Solanum lycopersicum: one gene and its partner. Each later gene encodes a partner of the first gene's protein in a complex. Links are inferred from orthologs where the notes say so. Each region holds a gene or a part of one and is shown in the gene's direction. Other genes may lie near its edges.

Evidence for each region. Proteins that work in one complex are often made in the same cells at the same time.
Region 2: the proteins of uncharacterized protein (region 1) and uncharacterized protein are in contact, whole or in part, in a cryo-EM structure (PDB 8K20), measured with the Arabidopsis thaliana proteins. The link is inferred for Solanum lycopersicum from reciprocal best matches to the Arabidopsis thaliana genes AT4G22720 and AT5G53045. Residues at the interface, in NP_194003.1 of Arabidopsis thaliana: Arg47, Leu54, Leu58, Gln91, Val92, Ile95, Arg98, Val99, Leu100, Gln102, Leu103, Ile319, Glu320, Asp321, Ser322, Phe324; in NP_850925.1 of Arabidopsis thaliana: Ile33, Thr36, Ser37, Val40, Asp41, Lys42, Ala78, Asp81, Val82, Leu85, Arg88, Thr89, Ile90, Phe93.

Annotation. Positions count from the first base shown.
Region 1 is NC_090801.1:54,824,854-54,828,782, forward strand, and holds the start of uncharacterized protein, read left to right. Parts: upstream 1-1,129; 5' UTR 1,130-3,459; coding exon 3,460-3,929. Other genes in the region: glycine cleavage system H protein 2, mitochondrial, read right to left, coding at 74-149.
Region 2 is NC_090802.1:49,623,286-49,627,053, forward strand, and holds uncharacterized protein, read left to right. Parts: upstream 1-1,237; 5' UTR 1,238-1,333; coding exon 1,334-1,368; intron 1,369-2,153; coding exon 2,154-2,226; intron 2,227-2,261; coding exon of another isoform or gene 2,262-2,312; coding exon 2,313-2,368; intron 2,369-3,010; coding exon 3,011-3,122; 3' UTR 3,123-3,268; downstream 3,269-3,768.

The DNA of each region.
Region 1 (3,929 bases):
ATCCACATAACTCAAAGCATTCGAACAAAAGGGTAAGAGGGTAATTCCAGAAACAATAATACAACTCCATTACCAGTGGCAAAAGCCCTGTGAAATGCTGAGATCCTGAGATATGAAGCAGCCCTTGAAGCCCACAACTTTGTAGCCATTTTTTTCTTTTAGGAATCTGCTTTGGATGTAGAGCTGTGCCAACACTTGTATTGTATGTATTAGGGGAAAATGGAAAATAAAAAGTACAGTAGAGTTATAGAAGAAAGTGGAAGCAATAAAAATAGGGAAGACAATGGTGGCTGGTGGGTTGAGGTGTCAACAAAGTTGTTTAGCAAAGTTGGTGAGTGTCACTTGGAATTTTTTGTTGGTAGGTCATTCCATGAGGTGGGTCTCATGGAAGATATCCTGTTCCCTACCTTTTGTTTATACATTTTTTCTTTTGAGAAATATTAATTGGGAGTTCTTTTTTCTTTTTTTTCCCCCCTTTTAATAAGATATATAGAAAATGATTACAAATTATTTACTATTTAGTAAGATATACTTACTAATAATTGTAATTACTATAGTCATTTCATAAGATATATTCACTAATAATTGTAATTAGTTTAGTTACTTTTTAATGCAAATTCGAATTTAGTTAGGCTCTAATATATATATCGAATATTGAATTGGATGAAAAATAAAAAAGAAACTTTAGTGCACTTTAAATATATAACTTATTTGTAATATTTAGTTTATGAGAACTTGTCTTTTTTATTTGAGTTTTTTAATATATACTTTTCTTTTAAATTATTTAAATATATTTAGGTTGATGAAATTTCATTTAAGTATTTAACCTTTTTTTTCTTAGAAAATATATAATTTTTGAGAGATAATGTATCATTAGGTTGTAGTAGTGAAGTCGAGGAGTAAAGAGATAGGTGACATGTCAAAGAAGTATTAGAAAGAGGTGATTAGGCAAATATGACATATTTTCAACTTATGAATAATATGACCTTAAGATAATATGGTATGAAAGTCGCGTACGATGATAGAAGATTAGTAGATAGTGAAGAATAATTTTTTCTATTTGAGGGGTTAGACTTTTGATATATATCATTATTTGTTGTATAGTGTGTTGCTTATCGCACTATTTTTATTTTTATTTTGTTTTTTTAACATAGGTTTTGCATTGCTTCCTTTATTAGTTGCTACATTTTCTACTTTGTTTTATGTACTTAGATTTGTTGCTGTTGAGCTAAGAGCTTTTCTCAAAACAACCTTTTAATCTTAACGTGGTGGTGATAAAATTTGCACACAATCTACTATTTTTGCACCTTAAAATTGAGCATAAAATATCAAAAATTAAACTATTGAATCGAACCAAATTTTTTGGTGATTTGATATTCGATAACTCGAAATTTAATATGCTATCCGAGAGTAAAATTTTAGAATTATGATATTTGGGTTTGAATTTGGTATTAGACATTAAAATCATTTGATATTTGATATTTTCTTGATTATTTACTTAATGAAGTCACTATCAACATGTTTATTATTCATTAGGTAATTTGCCACGCTTTTGCACCGTCATAAATAATAATTGCATTGAACTTGCAAATAATTTTTAACTAATATCATAATTAAAAATAATGGAAAATAGGTTATTAAAAAAATATTAGCAATATTCCAACATGAATTTGATTATTTGTCATTATCACATAACTCAAGAACCTCTAATGAATACATTATTTACGAAATAATAAATCATTGGCTCTTTAATCAACATTTAAAAGAAAAATAAAGAAGAAAATAAGAATATATATACAAAGATGTTTCGTAGAAAAGGAAACAATTAAGTTGCATAGATTATACAATTGTGATATATGTCTGAGGAGAAAATTCAAAAAATTGTTAACATATTCAAAAAAAAAAATTAAGTTTGAACATGAAAACAATTATAACTTTTGAACTTGCATAATGAATTTCTTCAATTGATAAATCAGAAATTTCATATCCATGTAAAAATAAATAATATGTAAGCTTACATATAGCACTTTAAGTTATAGAATTTAATATAGAATATCAAAATATGAATTATTGGAACTGAGTACAATAATTATTTTCTACACAATGAATATATGTACTAAATGTGTATATGCTCAATATAATCGGATACAATAACTTTGCAGAAACATAAATAATAGAGTTTAAAACATGTATTAAAAACAACAATCTATATCATATGCATAAATTAATGAGTATAAAAAACATACCAGTATATGTAAAAATAGAATGAAATAAAAAGAAAAAAATCGAGTCCACTGAATGCATAATGTTCACTTATTCCCCTCCAATACCACAAGTTTAAAGAATTACATTATCTAAGAATGGAACGTTTTTTATTCACTAACTTATTGATACAAAATAATGGTGTTAGTAAGTCACTCAACAGGAGCAAAACACAATAATATTTAACTTTGCGGAAGTAGAAAAAGAAGATCAAATCTTTTGTTGTTTTAAAATGAGAGGAAATTCCTCCATTTATAGACAAAAAAGTGTAGTGTGAACCAATGTTTATTGTGTCTTATCGAAAATGTTACAATTATCTGAAAAAATTGCAACCCTTGAGAAAAATCAACCTTTCATAAAAGTCGCAGCTTTTCATAAAGTTGCAATTCTTCATTAAAGTCACAATTTTTGAAAGAAGTCGCAACTCTTCATTAAAGTCAGACTTTTCATAAAAGTCGCAACTCTTCAGTTAAGTTGCTACTTTTCATAAAAGTCAAATTCTTTTTTATAAAAGAGGAAGGCTAGTTTTGGAAATAAATAATTTTGAAAGGAAATTCTTACTTGTGGTGGCGCCACGTAGGCGGGCCTAGAGTTCTCTTTTATATAAATATATGATTAGTACAAGTTCAATGAGAAAGTAAAAGAATAAACATACAAGTCAAATACATATGTCTTTTAATTGAATCAAATTGCTTTTTTTGATGTCTTCTTGCTTGTTGATTTTCTATTATATCATGTCTCCAAATTAAAAAGAAAATTAATTGAAAAAATAGTATTAACTTCATAATACAATCAGCTACAACTTCAATACAGTATAACCGAGTATCGCACAAAATTAAAACTTAATTTGCCGATTATCAAATTACCAAATTGAATTTTAAAAATTTGAAATTTTGATATCTACTTTCAACTACCAATGATATTAACAAACTCAAAATTTGAAACCGAATATCGAATGCCAACCCCTATCAGAGACTCCACTAGTCGAAATTCACCACATATGTTGTTTTGTTGATTATAAAATATAAAATGTGGATTTGTAATTAAGCTATAGTATAGAGGTGTTTAAGTGTAATATAGGAAAAGTATTAGGCCTCGTCCCCTAAACAAGTCCAATTTTCTGGGAGAAGAGAGACCAAACCCTTATCGTCACTGCTCATTTGACTGCTAAACCCTAATCCTCCGACGGCGGCGGCAATGAAGGATAAGAAATTGATAGCCCTAGGGTTCGAGGGTTCCGCCAACAAAATTGGCGTCGGCGTAGTAGCAATCGACGGCACAATTCTTTCTAATCCACGACACACCTACATAACGCCACCAGGCCAAGGTTTTCTCCCCCGTGAAACCGCCCAGCATCACCACCAACACATCTTACCGTTAGTAAAATCCGCTCTAGAAACCGCCGGAGTAACTCCCGATGAAATTGACTGTATCTGCTACACAAAAGGCCCTGGGATGGGTGCTCCACTGCAGGTTTCGGCAGTGGTTGTACGTGTTCTATCTCAGCTATGGAAGAAACCTATTGTTGGGGTGAACCACTGTGTTGCGCACATTGAAATGGGTCGAATCGTAACCGGGGCGGTTGATCCGGTTGTGCTATACGTGAGTGGTGGAAATACTCAGGTTATTGCGTATAGTGAAGGACGGTATAGGATTTTTGGGGAGAC
Region 2 (3,768 bases), on another chromosome or scaffold:
CATATATATATAAATAAAAAAAAATAGGAAAATCAATTCGAGGGGTAAAAATTAAAAATCATGATAATTCTAAAGGCAAAGGCATTGTCCATTCAATACTCAATATTTATACGGGGACTTAGCTGAACTCAAATTCACATACTTTCTATGTTCTTATTTATTTGTCTATTTTTTATTTGACATATCTATTAAGAAAATAATAATTAATATAATAAGTTTTTATTTTATTTTTTAAAAATTAATTAATTAAAAATATAATTAAAAAATTGTCTTTTTTTGATAAGTTAAAATGGATAAGTATAAAAGAAAAATTAGATAAGTAAAAAGGGACCGAATGAGTAGTATATTAAAGGGCAACTTTCACATATAGCAAATAAAAAATTCATATTTGTATGCTATAGCAAAGTTTGCATAATTGTGCTCCATAGCAAACATAGAAACTGTATAATTCGCTATACATATACAGTTAAAGCAAATTGTATAAAACGAAGTGTATAAAACAAAAAAGAGAAAGACACTTGGGCAGAGAACTGTATAAAAATGAAGTGTATAAAACGAATTGTATACAATTTGTTATTGTATAAAATGATAAAGAGAGAAAGACAAAAGAGACTTGACAAGGAATATACAATTGAATCGAATTGTATAAAATGAGAAAGAGAGAAATTAGATACAATTTGAAAAGTGTATAAAACGAGAAAGAGAGAAAGACAAAAGAAAATGGGCAGGGGAGTATTTTATTGTATAATTATAACTTATAAGTGTATAGGACGAAAATATATGTACTTGAATGTGTATATACAATTTTTTCGCGTTTTATACAAATAGAAACACAATTTATACATTTTGCTTCTGTTTGTGTAAGTGAGAAAAGTGAGGGTGACGAGCTAGATTTGGAAGAGTGACGAGCAAGATTTGAAAGAGGAGAGAGAGGGAAACAAAAATATATGTATTTATACAATTCTCTGCTTTATACAATAAGAAACAATTTTTATACACTTGTGTTTGTATAAAAAGTGAAAAAGCGAGCGAGAGATTGGAGGAGAGTGGCGAGCGAGATATTTGGGAGAGAGGCGCTTGACAATTTTTGCAAACGTTTGTAATGGAGCACAATTAAATCAAACTTTAGCTACTCCATTTATTTTAGATTATTAGTTTGCTATTATATACAATTTTCTCTAAACGACCTATTTCTGATTCACACTAATAAGGATACCCACTTACTCTTTTGCGGGTCGGGTTTATAGATTTTGGTACTTTTTCACTAAAACCCAAAATTCAAAAACCCTAATAATCAACCAATAATTTCAACTGCTGTACAGCAACTGAAGGAATGGATGGTGTGGCGTCTCCATGGGACTTCAACTGGTAATTTTCTCTTCATCTTACAACTAAGAAATCCATATTATTTCAAGAAAATTATTTTGTATTTATGTTATGTGAACAAATGTATATTAAAAAGATTAATTTATGCTCTTGCAAATTTTTTTTCTTGGTTTTAATCATTCATTTCAACATACCAATATGGTTTTACATGGTTCCTTATCAAAAAGACTTCTCCTTTTTAATGTTTTCTTCTTCTTTTTGATGGTTTAAGGGGTAGATGAGGGGGTTAGCTGGTTTTTTAAGTATTGGGTCATAGTAGAGCTTTCTCTGTTTATTTTTAATGTATTGTACATTGAGACACTTGTAGAGAAGCTTGACACTGAGCTAGGAATGAACTTGTGGTGTCGAGACTCTGCGTAAATTGAATGTTAGGTATTAGCTTTGTTGGTGGAGAGCATATGGAAAGTTTCATACTGAATTGTGCGAGCAGAAATTTCAATTTCAGGGACATGTTGTGTGTAATTGTCCCTAATTTGTCTAATCTCTTCTTGATGCAAACCTATCTTCGTATCTTCGTTTACTTAATGTATTCTATTGTTGCTTGTCCGCTTTGTCTTGTGTGAACTATACATCTCCATCTACTGTTCCATTTGGCAATGAAATGGGACTTCATGCATTTTTTAAAATCAAGAATCGGAACTGAAGAACAGAGTAGCAAATTTGTGACATCTAGACACTAGCAATAATGAGTTACACTCTGTGTTAATGTATTTGTGATTTGTATTCCTTGGCGAAGGAGTGAATTTTATGAGGTATACTTTATGCAGCAACTTGGAAGTAGATCTTGGGTCTGAAGAAAATGCTCATATTGTCTATACTGCATTGGCTGTTGATAAGGAGGTATAGTGATACTGAGGTTTTTTATTCATTTGTAGCATCTGTTTCGATCCACCAGTGCTCCAATGTTTGTACAATTAAAATTGCAGTTGCAGCCTGATAAAGTGAAGAGGCATATGTCTGTATCTAACGGGAAGCTTTCAGTGTGAGCACATGCTTCTTCTACTCAATTGAATTTATTGAAACCAGTTGATTTTTGAACTTCCAACTGTAGTTAGGAGTTATTGTTGTCAATATTTTCTTATACGTTCAGGATATATATATGTATACGTGTGTGTGTATGTGTGTCTGATGGTAATTTATGGATATCTTCATACTTCATCAAAATTTATACATATCTTCATGTTGTATTTGCTGAAAAAGCACCCAAAAGTACAAGTTCTTAAGAACATAATTGTAATGTGCTAGTTGCTTCATTTTTACTCCTATCATCTATAGAAATCAAGCACTGATATTGCGCTATAGTTTTGATGATACAAACAATGTTTTGTTTGCGTGCCTGAGCCATAAATTGACAGGCAACAGATGTAGTAATGTAAGTGTTCTTTGTGAACTCTTCCTTGTTTGCTGAAATATACTTGGCACCAGTCAGTTGTCTTTATAGCAAATTTCCTAGTCAAAGCAAACCTTGTTCAAAGTGACGCTTCTTCCTCCCCCAGCTTTCTGATTAGCAATGAAGAATGTCACTCGTCTTTACCAAAAATTTCTGAATGCTGAGTGTTCAAGTTATTATACTTGCTATTTCTGCATCATTCAGCTCTCTGAACTGTTCCTAATGTTTTTACAGGAATTTTGAGGCTGTTGAAGCAAGATTTCTTCGTGCATCATTTAGTGCATTTGTAGATGTACTCACACTCACAACAAAAACCATTGAAGAATTTGGTTCAAAGAAGGAATAGAGACCTCTATTGGATATTTTTAGACATTGTTCATTTATTGATGTGCCATATAACAGGAAGCCACTTCTTGTTTGTAATTGACAGTGGTATTCATTGCCAACTGATAATTTAACTTCGGATTATATTCATCTTTATAATTGATATCATGTAATCTAGAACTACAAGAAGCACTAAACAAATATGATAAAAAGCTATAAACTGATCTTCATATAATAAAAAAGCTATAAACTACTGATATATATAACCTTTGACGTGCAGCAAAGTATCAGATGATATTCTCATTCCTTATGCTTCAATCATTCCATCAGATTTTCGTCATATATGTTTTGGTGTTTCTAAATGCAAGGGTAAAAGGAAGATCAGGGAACCAGAGACATGTTTTCAGTTTCAACCACAAATAACTCTCATAAATTTCAATCCAAATTTCGTCCAAAACGACCTTAAAATCCTTGCTGTATTACTTTATAATCTGTCAAGACCATGTCCAGGACAACTAATCAAGTCTGCCAATACGTTGCCAAAATTTAATATACAATTGAGGAAAGGTAAGCAGTGCACTAATACAAAAAGTATGTCCCTGATTTTCCGTTTAACAACTGGAGAAGCAACAATAAAGCATGTTCCTGGTTTACAGCTGCAAGTGCTA